Linked DNA regions of Tamandua tetradactyla. The protein of the gene in region 1 interacts with the protein of each later gene in a pairwise test. Links are inferred from orthologs where the notes say so. Each region holds a gene or a part of one and is shown on either strand. Other genes may lie near its edges.

Region 1 (7,187 bases):
AGACGGATAAAATCAGGGATGTGGCAAAAGCAGGCGGTGTGGCAAGGGGAGCAGGTTAAAGTAGCAGCAGATTAGCCAGAAGCCTGCCCAGGGCCTAAATGGGCACAGCCCTTTATTTCTGGCTGGGAGAGGTGGGCTCCCCAGCCAGAGAGCTGCTGATGCTTTAAGAAGGCTTCTGATTTTTCTGTAGCACCTCCATCTCAGCATTCTTTGGAGGATATCTCAATTGGCTAGGAAATTGCTGCTTTTCGATACCGGGCTGATTACTTCTGAAAGACAGGGTAATAACATGAGCAATCATTTCTGAGCATTTACTGTGCAAAGCATTTTAACACACTTTATTGTATTGAATCATCTCAAAATTCTGGAGAGGTGAGCAGGTACCCCTGTGACCTCACCCTAGTACCGGACCTGCTGGACATTATTACTACCTCCATTTGACAGAGAAACTGAAGTTCAGAGAGGTGAAATAACTTCTCAAAATCACACAGCTAGTAAATAACCGAGCTATACCTGTCTGACTCCTATGCTCATTCTCCTAAGATTCAGCTGGTAAGAATTTTTTTTTTAAGATTTATTTAGGGCTCTTCTGTAATGTACAGGAAACTTGGCTAATTTATCACTAAGGTTACTAATAGGTCTAAAATTCTGTGAAATCACGTCCTATCAACTGTCCCTGAACCCTTCTGAAATGATTGAGAGCTAGATACCTGTGACAACTGAATAATTTAGAAGAATTTTGAAAGGGAGCTAAAGTCATATTGAGATAGATCTTTATTTTTGTTCCTAAATGTGAATGTCACAACAAACTGGCATATGTTACAACTTGGCTTCTAATTGTTGGGGGAGAAAAAGAGGTAAATTGTCATTCTTGGCAGTTTCCCAATGATATTTACATTTTCATTTCTATTAGAAGTTCATTTTAGCAAAGGGATTATAAAGGGAAGGCTACAAGGGATGTAGCCTTCATCACTTGAAAATGCTCTTCTCTAGAAAATAATTGTAACTGTTATAATCAAAAGAACAGAAAATGCTGGCGGGAGGCAAATTCATCATGCAGACAGCTTCAGTCTTCTGACATTCATATTCTGTAAGAAAACGTAGAAATTTCTCAATTTTAGGGTATTTAAGATTTGCAAGCAGTTGGGGAGTAGGAGAAGGAATTAAATTTCAATCCAACCGGGGAGGGATCAAGTTCAGATTTCCCCAGCACTCAAGAACCATTTCACATGTCCACAGTGCTTCCCAGTTACTGAGTTTCTCTGCTGTACAAAGCCTGTGTCGGTTGCTACAGGAAGATGTGTAGCATTAAGGTCATCCTTGCTTAAAAATTATTCAGAATAAAAACACATTTTTGAGACTTGATTCTAAATGTTAAACTTAAACGTGAGCGACTTAATTGTCCGTTGAATAGAAATGAAATCCCACCGGTAGGCAGTTATTTCTTACAACCACTGTGTGTGAAATTGAAATCTTAAGATACCATTTCAAACATTCACCTTCTGTAAGGAAGTTCTCCCCAAAGAGTTGTGAAAGATAAGAAAGTGACCCAGAATCATATGCAATAATCTCTCTTTTTTTATACACTCAGGTCAATGCAGAAGCATATTACTAAAAGGAAATTTTATGCCAAAAAGTTAGCCATTCTGAGATTACCTCCTGGAATCCAAGGATAGATTTATTTTAACAACTGGTTTGAAAGGAGGTAGCAACTTATCAGATTTAATCAAAGCAAGCAGATGCAAACATATCATCTAGTCACCAGGATAATGAACATGAAAATGGAAAAAGCTTACGTGTTTTGTTTACGAGCAGTAGGGGTGAGGTGTAAGCACCCTAGGTCTGTTTACCTTTTCAATGTAGAGAATACTTTTGAATTTAGCTGGGAGAGTCTTATTTTAAAGCCCCATTTTCCAATTAAATTTCAAGCTCTTTTATAATTCTCTCAATGAAGCATTTCATTATAACATAGCAGTTGCCATTTATGAGCTCTTACTACGTGCTAGGTGCTTTCCATGCATATAAGCTCATAGCTCATTTAATCTTTGCAAACTTCTATGAGGAGGTCCTATTATAACTCTCACCCTGTTGTCAAGTCTAAATACCATGCTTGCATGTGTTACCTCATTTAATCTTCATAACATCCCAAGCAATAGGTTCTATTATTCCCATTTTACAGATGAGGCTACTGGGAGGTTAAAATCCTGTGTTAGCCCAGGTTAACACAGCTGAGAAGAGGAGGGGTAAAACACTGGCACTCTGGCTCCAGATTTTGTACTCTTGGCCACTACAAAATACTGCCTTCTCAAATTAAGTAACTTTCGTAGACCACACTGACAAGTGAGAGCCTAAATCAAATCCAGGCAGCCCAATTCCAAAGTCCTCATATTTAACCACATGGACTGATTAAACCAGGTAAACCACTTATTGCAACCTGCATGTTCATTTTGATTTCTGGTTGTAGAGTCATAGGTTATGTATTTATCACATACTTTAGGCCTGCCTAAACATTTTAGGGGTTTTCTTTCTTAAATTAAAAACAAAGGTCTGATCAGGAAAATGTCCTCCTATGTACCGAAGGTCTTGGCCTTGGACTTCCTTTAGCACACATACACAGAGATTTTAATTATACTCATCAGAGACTCAAGCCTTGGGACCTGAAGATGAGAAAAATGACAAGAGTGATCGATGCTAGACAACAGTAAATTCTGGTTATACTTGTGAAGTCAGTGAAGATTTGGCTCTGACCAGGGAAAATGAAGTGACCAAGGAGTCACTTCTGATTTCAGCCTCCACCATTGGGGGAAACCTATTCAGGACGCTTTAATGCCAACTTTTAAGGTGGGAATAAAATGCTTATGACCATGATTCAGAGGGAGCCTAGAAAACTATGGATTCTGAAAATTCTCGGTGGTTTCATTTTTGCAAGACTTATAACTGGCATCAGGCAGAAACAGGCCTTTAATCATCATTTCTGAAGGCAGACATTTCCAAGTTTGAGGCTCAGGGAACTGAAGTTGGTCTCTACCGGAGGGCAGACTCAATTAGCTTCTTCCTCTCTCCTTCCTCTGCATTCCTCACTCTTCCAAGATGTTGCTCTCGAGGTTTGACATCAGGTCTGGCTTCTTTCCCTTTCCCTGGCCCAGGACAAAACGACCTCCCTATTGCTCTTGATCATGGGGAAAGCAGTGGGCTGTGCAGGGTATTTACTGGTATTTCATGGGGGCAGGGGGTGGGGTGCGCAGTCGAACCGCAGGGGTCCGCCTCCGTGCACTTTCTCAAGGATGCTGAGGGAGGGAATTCCGTCAGCCGGCAGATGGAGACGAGACCCCGACCCGAGTGATCCCTCCCCTCCGATTTTCCTCTGGGATTAGCTGCCCCTGGCACAGCTCCGGCAGTGCCCAGCCCGCTCGGCCCGAGCTGCCTTCGTGGAGTGCGGACGCAGCCACCAGCTAGCAGCCAGCCGAGCCGCGCTGTCCCGGGCATCCTCGCGCGGAGCGTCGGGGGACCTCGAAGCCCGGAAGGGCGAGGAAGCCACTCCGAACGCTTGCGTTTCTGTAGGTGCTTCTTTCACCTCCTTGTCTTTTCTTTCTTCCTCGACCTGCCCGCTGGTTACTTTCAGCCTTAGTTGAACTGAAAGGGCAACGCGGAGGAGGGGGAGTCTTAAAGGATTTAGAGGCAGCCCAGCCTCCTCTCCAAAGAGGGGGTGTTGACCGAGCGACTCACCCGGTCCCTGACGCTGGCCCCTTTAAGAAGCGAAGTCCGTCCTGCGCGGCCGCTGTTTGTATTGCTAATCCCCAGGAGCCCCGTTTAAAAAGGGGGGGAGGGGGAAGGGGGGGGAGGATGGCCGGGCAGCTGTCTCTTTAAATGTGATTTCCTTCTATTGTATTTGAATCGTGATCAGGAAAAAGGAAATGAAACCAGAGACAGAGGGAAGCTGAGCGAAAATAGACCTTTCCCGGCGAGGAGGGAGCCCAGGGGCGCGACGCACGGGCCCCTCCCCGCCCGCCGCCCCCTCCCTGCCCTCCGCGGCGAGCTGCGCGCTGCGACCCGGGCGGAAGGTGCGAGGGGCGCGGGGCGGCCCGGCGGCGCGGATCCGGCGACGGCGCGCGAACGGGACCGGGCGGTGGCGGTGGCGGCGGGACCGGGATGGAAGGTTAAGTCCTGAGCGGCAGCAGCTGCTGCAGATGCCCCGGGCCAGGCTGCGCGTCCCGGCCCCGGTCTCGGCCGCGGCGCGCCCGCAGCCCGGTGATTCGCTCTCTCTCTTTGGCGTTTGAAGGGAGCGCGGTGACTGTCCTTGAGCGCGGAGGGCCGAGCTCGCCGCCGGAGCTCCCGAGCAAGCGGAGGCGCAAGAGCGGCGGCAGCGGCGGCGCCCGAGCACCCGAGGGGGTCCGAGCCCTGGCAGCCGGCCAGCCCCGCACCACAAAGGGAGCGCCTCCCCCGTCCGGCACGCCGCCTCCCTCCCCAATGTCCTCGGCCATCGAGAGGAAGAGCCTGGACCCGTCTGAGTGAGTGTGGCACCCCTGTCGCTTTCACCCACGCTCTCCACGGCCTCGCGCCCCGTGGTTAGTGGGGTGGCACGGCTACCCCCCACCAGCACCACCACCCCGCGAGGGGCTTCAGGTGCGCGCCCGCGGCGTGCCCTTGGCGCCCTCCGCCTTGCTCTCGGGCTGGCGGGGGATAGTGCGGGAAAGGGGTTCTGGCCCTGCACCCCGCGGGCCCCTCTCGGCTGCCTGGGACGTTCCGCGAGCCCTCCGCGGGCCAGAAAGTTTGCACCGGAGCGGGCACCGGGGGAGCTCGGAGGCGCGTAGGTGCAGGTCAGGCGAGAGTGCAGGGCTGGATTCTGCTCCTTTCGCCTCCCCCCGCCCCGGCCCGCTTTCTCTTTGTCCAGTTGGTCTTGGAAAGGGGGACGTTCCGAGTGGAGGCCTCCCGCACCCCCCACGGCCCCCTTCCCAGCCCGCAGGTGGAGCGACCCCGGGCCGCGCGGGTGCCTCGCCGCCTACGGGGTCCCAGCGTCCACTTCCGAGCCTACTCTGGCCTCCAGACACTTCTAGAGCCGATAAATCCGGAGTTAATCAGAGTTCATGTTTCTTGGGGTCCGCTGATGGGGTTTCTCTATCTCGAAGGGCAGCGCACCATTTTGTGTATAGGTGAATTTTTCTAGGGCGGGGAGTCTCGTGGGTTTTTCATGGTCTCCAAAGGCTTTAGAGTCGGGGAACCAGGACTCCCAAGAGCATCTGCCGCGTCTGTTTTCTGAGCCTCCTACTGACTTGGAATGTTCCCCTATTTCCAATTTACACCCCCAACCCATTCTTTGGTGATAACATGGGGAGAAAGGGTTGTTTAAGATCTCATTTTCCCGTCAACGTAAATGCCCTTTTAAGATTCATTAACTGTCTGGTTTTGAGAATTTTTATTCCTTTGAAGTCCCCATCTAATCCTTTGAAGGGATTTGTTACACAGACCAAAGCAGCTGGTTAATGACTTGTCCATTTGTGCTCTTAAGAGGCGTTTGTTTTGGTTTTTTCTTTTCTTGTTTTAAAGAATTGTGCTTTCTTGTTAGAAGTCTCCCGCCACCCCACCAATTTCAGCCCTTGGTGGTGTTTATTTACCTGGGTTTTACCCTCAGTTACTGACATGAAAGCTCAGCATGTTCTCATAAAACTCAGGAAGTGCCACAATCCAGCGAGAATATAAACATCACTATTCAATCTTAAAGGTTAAGACACCAGTTCTGTAAGGAGCCGGGTTTGTGTTAACAAACCCCCAGCTTCCTTGGACTAATTCTCAAGAGAAAAATAACATTCCTTTACTTAAATGTATGTATCTGTGCAAACAATGAGTTTAAAGGGTGGTTTGTTCACTTTTTTTTTTTTTTTTTAACAAACTTAGAATTACAATTTAGTCCAGAGACTGGGCAAGACCATAGTAATAAAGAGAGTGAACTGGATGAATTGGTAGCTAATGCCCTTTCGACCAGCCAAAACTTAGTCACTAATCCTTTTATTAGAAGACAAATCTGGAGGTTTCACTTTCCCTAAGGAAGTTTAGTCTTTTCAAAATTTTCCTTTTTCACTGAGGTTAGAAAATTGAAGCATCCTAGCCTCATAAAATACATCAAGCACCTAACTGAAGGGCACTAACTATTCCATTCTTCACTATTTTCCAGTGAAGACAGGTACTAACTGAAGACGGACAAGCTAGTTGAGGAAATGGTGCCAGCACATTTTTCCCCCTCTTTCCCAGAAAAGGTTGATAAATTATGCCCAGAAATCCAGGCAGAAGTGATTTTTCAGGTGTAATATTCAGGATAGGCTCTAGGAAAACATAAAACATTAATTTGAAGGTGAATCCTACTCAGTCTTTTGCTTGGAACGTCCTCCATGGACAGCATGATGTTATCATAAACTCTAACAGATGGAGCCAGTATCTTATCCTGTGTTTACTATTTCATTTCAGGCCATCGTGATAGCTCCTTTGCTTAATATTTCTACTGCGGACCACTATCCTGATAGATGCTTCACTGCATACTTACCCAAAGCCAACTGGAGTCATTACCATTAGCATCTCCATATTCCAGATGGAGACTTGCCCAGGCTCAGGCAAACCCAACATTTAGACAGAAGGGCAGCCAGACTTTGTGAGCTTGGAGATATCTTTTAGGATGCACTCGGTGCCCCTTACCGCCTCCCTATGAGTCACAAGAGCAATTCATTTTAATTTCAGGCAGTTTTGCACCAGCTAAGTGCAAATTCTCCTCTTTCACAGTTGGTTGGCAGTGTCAGCACCGGGGCATTCAGTGTGGTGGAGGTTCTGTGAGTGTTTTGAAAGCCCCAAGTAAGATCAAGGCCCGTGGAATGAGAAGAGCTGCATTCTGATTACAGATGTACATAAAATGTATGTACATAAAAATGCTGGGCATAGTAGTTATTTTTCCAGAGGGAGAATGGAAGTCTTTATGTATGATCTGTAGAGGCAAAGAATAGTAAAGCAAGTCAAGCCTGTAAATTATTACAACTATTTAAGGGCTTGATTTCCTTTTTCTTTTTTAATTGGCTTGGGTTTCACCTTTCCTCGTTCTAAAAGGAGATAATCTCATGAAGTGTCCTTATATAGTCCTTTACTCTCTCCATCTGCAGAGTGTGAACTGGGTTTTAGCATCTCCTAAGCATTGATCTGGAGGCGAG
Region 2 (8,054 bases), on another chromosome or scaffold:
TTTCAAAAGCAAAACTACTTCTGCAAATATTTTTGAATATTTCATGGAACATACTGATGCATTAACTTAGGGAATAATGTGGATATACTTTTCCAGAAGAAGCACTAAAATGGAACATAGAAACTGTAATTTATTAATCAGAAAGGGAAGATATTATATTGTATATTCGTGGAGATGAAGTCACTGGACTTAAATGCAGTAAAATAGTATTTTTGTGACTATGGCATTTTAAATTCCATTTTATGCATTTTAAAAATTTCTACTTCTGAAAAAAAATGCAGAACATCTAATATTTTTCTTCTGAAAAACTGTTTACTTCTTTTGGTTATTGGAAATGGGCAGCTTTCAAAGAAATGTTTTCTTTTTGTTGTAGAGTACATAGATTTTCATGAGCACTAGTTTAGGCTGAGTCCCAATAATAACTTACCATCATTTTAAGCTGTGGATATATAAGAATTTATTTCAACAAATATTAGGCATGACGTTAATTTGGTATTAAACTATAAGCACATTAGCAATTATAGTACAGTACACTATTACTTTTCAAATCTCTGCAGTAAGTTTTTCATCATTAATGGTTTATTTATTTATTTATTTTTCCAGGCAGACCTTATCATTTGCATGATTTCAGTATGATTTCAAAACAGCCCAGCCATTCTAATTTTCTTTTATATCCATTGAAATATGCATTCCTGATGGCCAAATCTATTCCCCAAACACAACCATAAGGTATAATCTAATTCAATAGGAGTTAAATGATTAGCAGTGCAGTTGAATTGCTGTGCTTAGTCCATAGGGAGCCAAACTGAGTTCCAGGTTTCTATATAAACAATAAATTAAAAAGACAGCCCAGAATCCTTGACTAATTTATCAAAGTGTAATTAAAATTCTTTTGTCTGACTCACCGGCCCTTACAGTAGGAAGATAATTCCTTGTGCACTATTATGTATTGCAATAGGACAATCGCTTCCCTAAACTATATTCACACAAACATAAGTGGGTTTGTAACGTACCTGAAATAATACATATCATCATCACAGATCTTGTTTGGTTTTACTTTTTCATCTGTAACTCTGCAAGCAAACTTTGAACATATTTTTAAGTAGAGGGACCCAGGTAGGCTGAATTAAATTGGGTGACTAACTATCTTGGTTTACCCAGGACTTTTAATTTAAAAACTGGGACAATGCCAGGCCATTTTAGTCACCCTAAACCAGGGCGAAATACGGTGGAGTGAAGACAGCTTTGGGGAAACATCTTTTAAATACTGTGTTCCTGCTCTTTCAGAATTTTCTAAATTTCTCCTCTTCCTCCAATCCCAATGTAGGGCTACTTAATGCTCATCTTTTCCCTGAATCCAGTACCAGAACTGTCAAGGGCAAGTAAGAGGCTTGAGCTCTGTGCCAGATGGTCTGGATTAGAATCCAGGCTCTGCCATTCTTTAGGTGGGTGATATTGTGCCTCAGTTTTCTCAACTATAAATGGAAATAGTAATACCCACCCTGTAGGGTTACATGAACTGTGCCTCTCGTACATTAAGCTTTAAAGAAATTGTTTATTTTTATTGTGAGCTTGATTATGATTCGCAACTTAGAGCAAGAGGAACTTGCTTCCTCTATCAGTCTTCCCAGGGGTGGCTTTCATTACCCCCAAAGCTCAGCTAGTTGGTTTTTTCCTCCCTGTTTAAGATATACCCATAAAGTGACAAAGGAAACTTCAAATTTAGGACTCTTCCAGGGAATGTAGCATTAGTGGAATGCAAAAGTAGATGATAAAATTACCCTAGTTCTTTTGAGGCTAATTAGGCTTTTAGTGCAATTCTACAGACTATTATTTTTAATAGTATTATGGTAAAGCTGCTTTATTGAATGTCTCATTCAATTATTTGACATTCCATCAAGGAAGGCATGTTAATATTTATTCTTAATCATGAGCACTGGGTGCAAAATAGAAGAGCATATTGGAGTTTAATATGCCACAGCTTGGTTGGGCTATGGTAGCACTTTGCTTCTATGAAAACTGTTCCAAGGGGATAATGTTGAAATGCAGCTTGTGGGTTGACTATGAAATTCCAGAGTATGAACACCATTTCTTTAGACTTGTATTGTTCTGTTAACAACTAACTTCCAAGGCAGAGAGCTCAGTCCACAATGAGTAGTCCATTCCACATTGATGGACTACTTTTCTAATGAGCAGAAAGTAGACTTGTACCTGATTTTTCATCTTGTAATTTAGCCAAATAAGACTACTATAGGACACCTAGTAAAAATGTTATGATAAAATTTGTTTTTGTTGGAATGTAATTGTAGTGCCCTGATTTATTATATACAATTATTTCCAGAATTTGCCAATTACAATGCTAAAGGTGTTTAAGAAAATATTGGAATTGCTTAAATGCTGAGATGGAACCCAGATCCTTAAGATCTAAATGACCTGTCAAGAATATATAAAATGTAAAACATACTTAAAATATTAATTTTGAATTCAAGAATCAAAAGACAAGCCTTGAATTCTGGATTTTGCATTTAATATTATCAAATATTTAAGGGAAATTTAATTTTTTTCATAATGTAGGCTATTCCTAACTGACTATATTCAATTATAAAGAAAATTTTATTTTTTTCATAATGTAGGCTAATCATAACTGAATATATTCCATAATACCTTGAATACGTTTTAAAACATAAGCCAGTTGTAATAGTCATATCTTCTCAGCCATTAATTTTTTTTGTGGTTATTACAACAGATTGTTGAATCTCAGTATTGGATTCATCGTGGAATTTATTTTATATTACAAGGTATTCCACTTAAAATGAAAGTGTAATGTAGATAAATCCTGTAATTGTGTGTGAATATGGTAGCTTAAATAATGGCAATATTCACACATTCTACTTTTAAAATCTCAGTTCTCTTGCAAATACCTGAATATTTTTGGTTGTATTATTATTATTGTTTTATTTTGGAACAATGTTTTTGTCTCTATTTTTCTTTGTATCTATAGCAGGCTTTCTACAAATGAGGAATAATCTTCTCCATTCTGTGCTTCTTAGGGTAACCCTTATTTAAACCTCACATGAACCTTAAAAACCAGATATTGCTTAGGACTTGTCTAATTGATACCCTCTGTACATCCCTTTGTGATATATTTTTAGAGATAAACTCATGGTTGCATGGACCCCTTTAATATATCTATAGAAAAAAATCATTTTGTTTTAAATATTTTAACCATGGAATTAAAGAATTCCTGTAGGTTAAATAAGATACAACTTTGGCCTTTTGTCTGAGAGAAGGAAAATATCACAGTAGCACTTTTAAAATAGACTCATTAATGCAAACTAAGTACTTCTGCTTGGTTTACTTTTAACTAAAACAATAATAATTCAGAACTGTTTTTACTGCTGTCAGTAATTGTAAGTTTTTCATGTTTTGTTCATTACAAATAAAAATGTTTTGGAAATATCCGCTTTATTTATTATATTCTGAAATAAATGCATTTTCCACAATATCTGTGTTGAAAAGCAGAAAAATTGAGTGTCATGCATCTGTACTGAAAGAGAATTAGATCATAATCTGCATGGGACAGTATTTAGGATTGTATATCCTTTGTCATTTACGCTTCTAATTACAAACATATTTTAAACTGAAAAATTTTGTGAAAATACTATTGACTATTTTTCTTTCTTTCTCTCTGTTTTGTTTTCTTTTTTGTTCAGTTGCAAATTCAAAAGCAAAAGTGAGCAAGGTTTTTGAGGTTCATATTTATGTCCTGGGCTAAGTTCAGATTCCAGTGAATGGCTCTGGATTACAATTCAATGTTATTTATTATTATTATTATCTACTTTGTTTTCGTGTTAAGGAATGGCCAAGTAAAACATTAAGGAGGATAACTTCGGGTGCCCCAAAGAGAGTAACTACAGGGCCAGAAAAGATGCTATAGAATTGGATGAGTTGGTTAAAATTTAGGTAAATATTAGGAACTTAGGTTAGATATTAGATAAATGTTTGGGGATTCTAAACATGTGTTTCCATGATGGGAGAGTTACATTTGGACAAAGGTCCTAATTGTCATCCTTTTAGGAAATATTGAGCTGGTAAGGGTGGGGATGGAGTGGGTGGAGGTGGGGTGACAGACTGTATATGTTGTACAGTTTACATCAGGCCTTCTAGACTTTCCTTCCTTTCACTGTATGATTTTTTCCTTCAGAGTTTGTGTCAGGTTTCTCCCTTGCCACAGAAGTGGAAAGATATGGTCCTAATGGCTTGGTTGTCAAAGAAATAATGTTTTGAAGGATACAGCTCAATTTCTCGATGAACTTTTTGGAGCTCGGCGATGATTTTTAAGCCCCACATTTTCAGCAACTGGCAGTGAACGATTCCATAGATACTGGCTCAAGTGGGAGAGAGTGGAGAAGCAGAGTGGCCTTCTGGGGCCCAACTGCCTTTTGGCCATTGCCCTAAGATGATTTCATTAATCTGAGTTTGGACGGGGCGGAAAGGCAGGTAAGTGCGGAGCGGCAATGCTAGTGGATCAAGAATCAAACACAGACCCTCCATCCTCAAAGGCACCTGAGTTAAAAAGAAATCCCTTCCAGGTACCTACTCGCTCTCATCTCTTAAGTGACAAGTTTCTTTTCAAGCGTTAGCCACCTGTGTGAGGCGCTCCTAGTGGGAAGGGTGGCTCGGGGGAAGCTAGTAATCAACCACACAGCTCCGGAGCCTTTCTGGGTGAGCAGGCGGTCAAAACGCCTCCAGAAGTCGGAGCCCTTAGAATGCGGAGTCCGCGCTGCCCTCGCGTGTCTACAGGAATTTAGCCCAATGCCCTCAACACTGGCATGCTTTGGCACCGGCTGACGCCTCCCGTTTGCCCGGGGTCCTCCGCGTTCTCTCTTCCCCACCTCCCCACCCCCCAAAGGAGTGCTCCAGCCTCCCTCCGCCTGCACAGCACCCAGCGCGCCCCAGAGGTTTATCTGGCTCTCCACACGCACCGCCGGTTTCCTTTGGCGCCGGACGCCAGCGACCCGTGTAGACCAGCCGCTGCCTCGGAGCTCCACGTTTCAGTCCCGTTCTCCCTCTTCCCTGCCGCCGAGCCTCGCGGCTCTTTCCCCGGCGCCGCGGCGCCCACTCTGTTTCAGGCTTAATCCCGGGTTGGACCTGCTGTTTTGCTCATCCCCACGCTCAGCCTCCCAGTAAACCCAGAGAAGTACGGTCTGCACACTGAAACTCTCGGTGGCTGGAGCCGGCGGACTGGGCATGCTCAGAAGCCAGGGCTGGCTTTGGTCTCAAGTAGGAAGCTTTTGCACTCGGGAGGCAGCGGCGACTTTGGGGAAAGTTGATCGAAGAGGGGAGGAAGCCCCAAGACGCGGAGCAGCGGCAGGAAGGAGTCCCCGGCTGCCCGGAGGAGCATGGGCACCCTGCGAGATTTACAGTACGCGCTCCAGGAGAAGATCGAGGAGCTGAGGCAGCGGGATGCTCTCATCGACGAGCTGGAGCTGGAGTTGGATCAGAAGGACGAACTGATCCAGAAGCTGCAGAACGAGCTGGACAAGTACCGCTCGGTGATCCGGCCGGCCACCCAGCAGGCGCAGAAGCAGAGCGCGAGCACCTTGCAGGGTGAGCCGCGCACCAAGCGGCAGGCGATCTCCGCGGAGCCCACCGCCTTCGACATCCAGGATCTCAGCCATGTGACCCTGCCCTTCTACCCCAAGAGCCCACAGTAAGCGGGGGTTACGCTCCGGGTCGGTGTGGCGCCCTGTCGGTGGGGGAGCTGCGGGTCTCCGTAATGTCTGTCGGCCCCCGCCCCTCCCGCTTGCGGTGTCTGTCCTCATCCTCTGAAATGTTTCATTTTAATGGGCACTTCTTGCGGGGCCATGCACATTTCTCAGAGCCAGACTTACTGCACATACGTTGCTTTCGTGTCTTTGTCAGATATCAAAGTATTTATTAAAAAAATATATATATGCACATATACATTCTTATATGCCACCTACTGTACATGGAGTTTGAACGCGCCCCAGGTGTGTGTCCGTGCGTGTGTGTATTGTATGCGAGTGAATGTGAGAGGAGGAATAAAACGCCCCGTCTCCCAAATGCCTTGGCAAACCTGCCCATCCGGAAAAGCCTAAATGCAGGCTCATCAGACTTGAAATGAAATGCGTCTGTTACCATCATTACTTTCTATGCTTTTCTGGCTCCCTCGGATTTCTCTACATGGTGGCGATTCACGCTGGCACCCTTCAAACCTGATGTTCTGCCCTCATCAAAGTGTTTTTTAAAAAGCAAATACGCATATACAAGGGGGTGATTTCTTGATTTCCTGAATTGGATGACATTTACAATCCATAAATGGAAACCTAGTCTGTTCATTTAAAATTTTTTTCCTAGCATCTGAGACAATATTGCCTGTTTTCCTTTGCATAATGTTACTAATGGAACGCCTCCATCCCCCACGAGGGTTGCATGTTTTCTAGGGTCAAATATAGATAGGAACACACCTTTATTTTGGATGTGGGCACAGTTTGCCTTGGTTCTAGCCGTTAGTGTGATCACCCTGGTATTATTCTAGCATTTTAGAGAACTGTGTAGTTTTGATGTCAGTGAGCTTCACATAACTTGGCTGGGAAAATTGAATGAAACTTGTTATACAACACTCAACTCAGAATCCATATTGAGAGTAAAGCAGCGGGAGTATAAGGTTAACCTAAAATGAAGGAAAGTGCACGAATGAATGCTATTTTTAATTACCAGATAATGACATTAAAAAGTGAAAGATTTTTCTACTTTATGCTAACTGCATCACACTGTCTGGATGGCACGTGTTACATAATAATACAAGGTCCCTTGGAACCCTTCACATCATAAACACAGAGAGTTAATATAAGAAGAAAGAATATATATTTTATTAGCCCCCAATTGTATTTATTGGATTTTTTGGAGGTCGTGAGAATGTAATAATTGCACTTCTGAAAACTTAGAGTTGTACCTTTGCATGTTGGTTCCCGTGGAGCATTTGCTGTTCCCTGTGCAGCCCCGGGGTAAGGAGGAGTTTGTATTCTTGAGGGACTGGAGAAAGGGTAGTAAGGATCAAACCTTTCTGAGATTTGGACCTGCACAAATTGGCCTTAATAGTTCACCAGACTTACATCTGCCTAAAAAACCTGAGTGGTGTGAAGCCACTTCAGCTTTCTCTGGTAAATTAATTTGCAGTCCTGACATGCTTGCCTGTTTTTGCTAACGAGGTGCATGGCCATCTCTCCTGGGCCAAGTTTTGCATAATGAAAAAATAACTTGAAGACAGCTCTCTGCATCTTTAAGCATTCCATAGGATCTCATTTTAGTGTCTGCAGGACTTCGGAGCAGTGCAGAGCAAACTCTGCTTTTATAAAAAGATTATTTTAATAGGTTTTATAGTGAAGCCTGATAAGCCAGCTGATAACTCCAGTTAAATATGTTAAAGAACTTCTAGGCAAGTGGGGAACAAACTGTAGATTTTGGTAAATTTTAGAAGCTTCTTATTGCCTGACCTGTAGAACTAGATTTTAAAAAAGCCCATTGTGGAAAATGAAATTCGCGTGTAAAATAATTCACAATGTTCCATTATAGTAAAATTTGAGCTAATGAACATTCCTGTGCCGTTTGATATTTAATAACTTACGTTTTACAGGAGTCAGTTATAAAGATATTGCCATGATCATTTTGGTGATTCTGAAGGATTATATTGAAGAAAATGATAGAATGTCTTCCAAGCTTAAATAATTTTGGGAAAACATCTGTTCTTTTTTCACACTTACGTAAAGAAAACTAGAATAAAACTTGGCTGAAGTGGTAGGGTATATTTTTCTTAGGGGAAAGAGAAATATATTGTATGAAAAATGATTATATCTTATATCATTTGAATAGTCATGCACAAGAGTGCCACAAAGAATTAAGGAAACTTGCCAAACTGAAGATCTGTTTGCGTTTCAATTCATTTCACAATGCAAATTCAATTATATAGGTTTAACTGGCAACAGGTTAAATTTTTCACCTTTCTTAAACTTACTCATAGTTTGTTAATG

The links. The genes of interacting proteins can lie anywhere in the genome.
Region 2: the proteins of LMO2 (region 1) and PRKG1 interact in binary tests that used the Homo sapiens proteins (3 or more experiments, as listed by UniProt). The two-hybrid records come from large-scale screens. The link is inferred for Tamandua tetradactyla from reciprocal best matches to the Homo sapiens genes LMO2 and PRKG1.

The regions. Positions count from the first base shown.
Region 1 is NC_135334.1:110,238,842-110,246,028, reverse strand, and holds the start of LMO2 (rhombotin-2), read left to right. Parts: upstream 1-4,142; 5' UTR 4,143-4,149; coding exon 4,150-4,156; intron 4,157-4,279; coding exon 4,280-4,508; intron 4,509-7,187. UniProt on the Homo sapiens protein: Acts with TAL1/SCL to regulate red blood cell development. Also acts with LDB1 to maintain erythroid precursors in an immature state.
Region 2 is NC_135339.1:45,953,408-45,961,461, reverse strand, and holds the start of PRKG1 (cGMP-dependent protein kinase 1), read left to right. Parts: upstream 1-5,008; 5' UTR 5,009-5,402; coding exon 5,403-5,713; intron 5,714-8,054. UniProt on the Homo sapiens protein: Serine/threonine protein kinase that acts as a key mediator of the nitric oxide (NO)/cGMP signaling pathway. GMP binding activates PRKG1, which phosphorylates serines and threonines on many cellular proteins.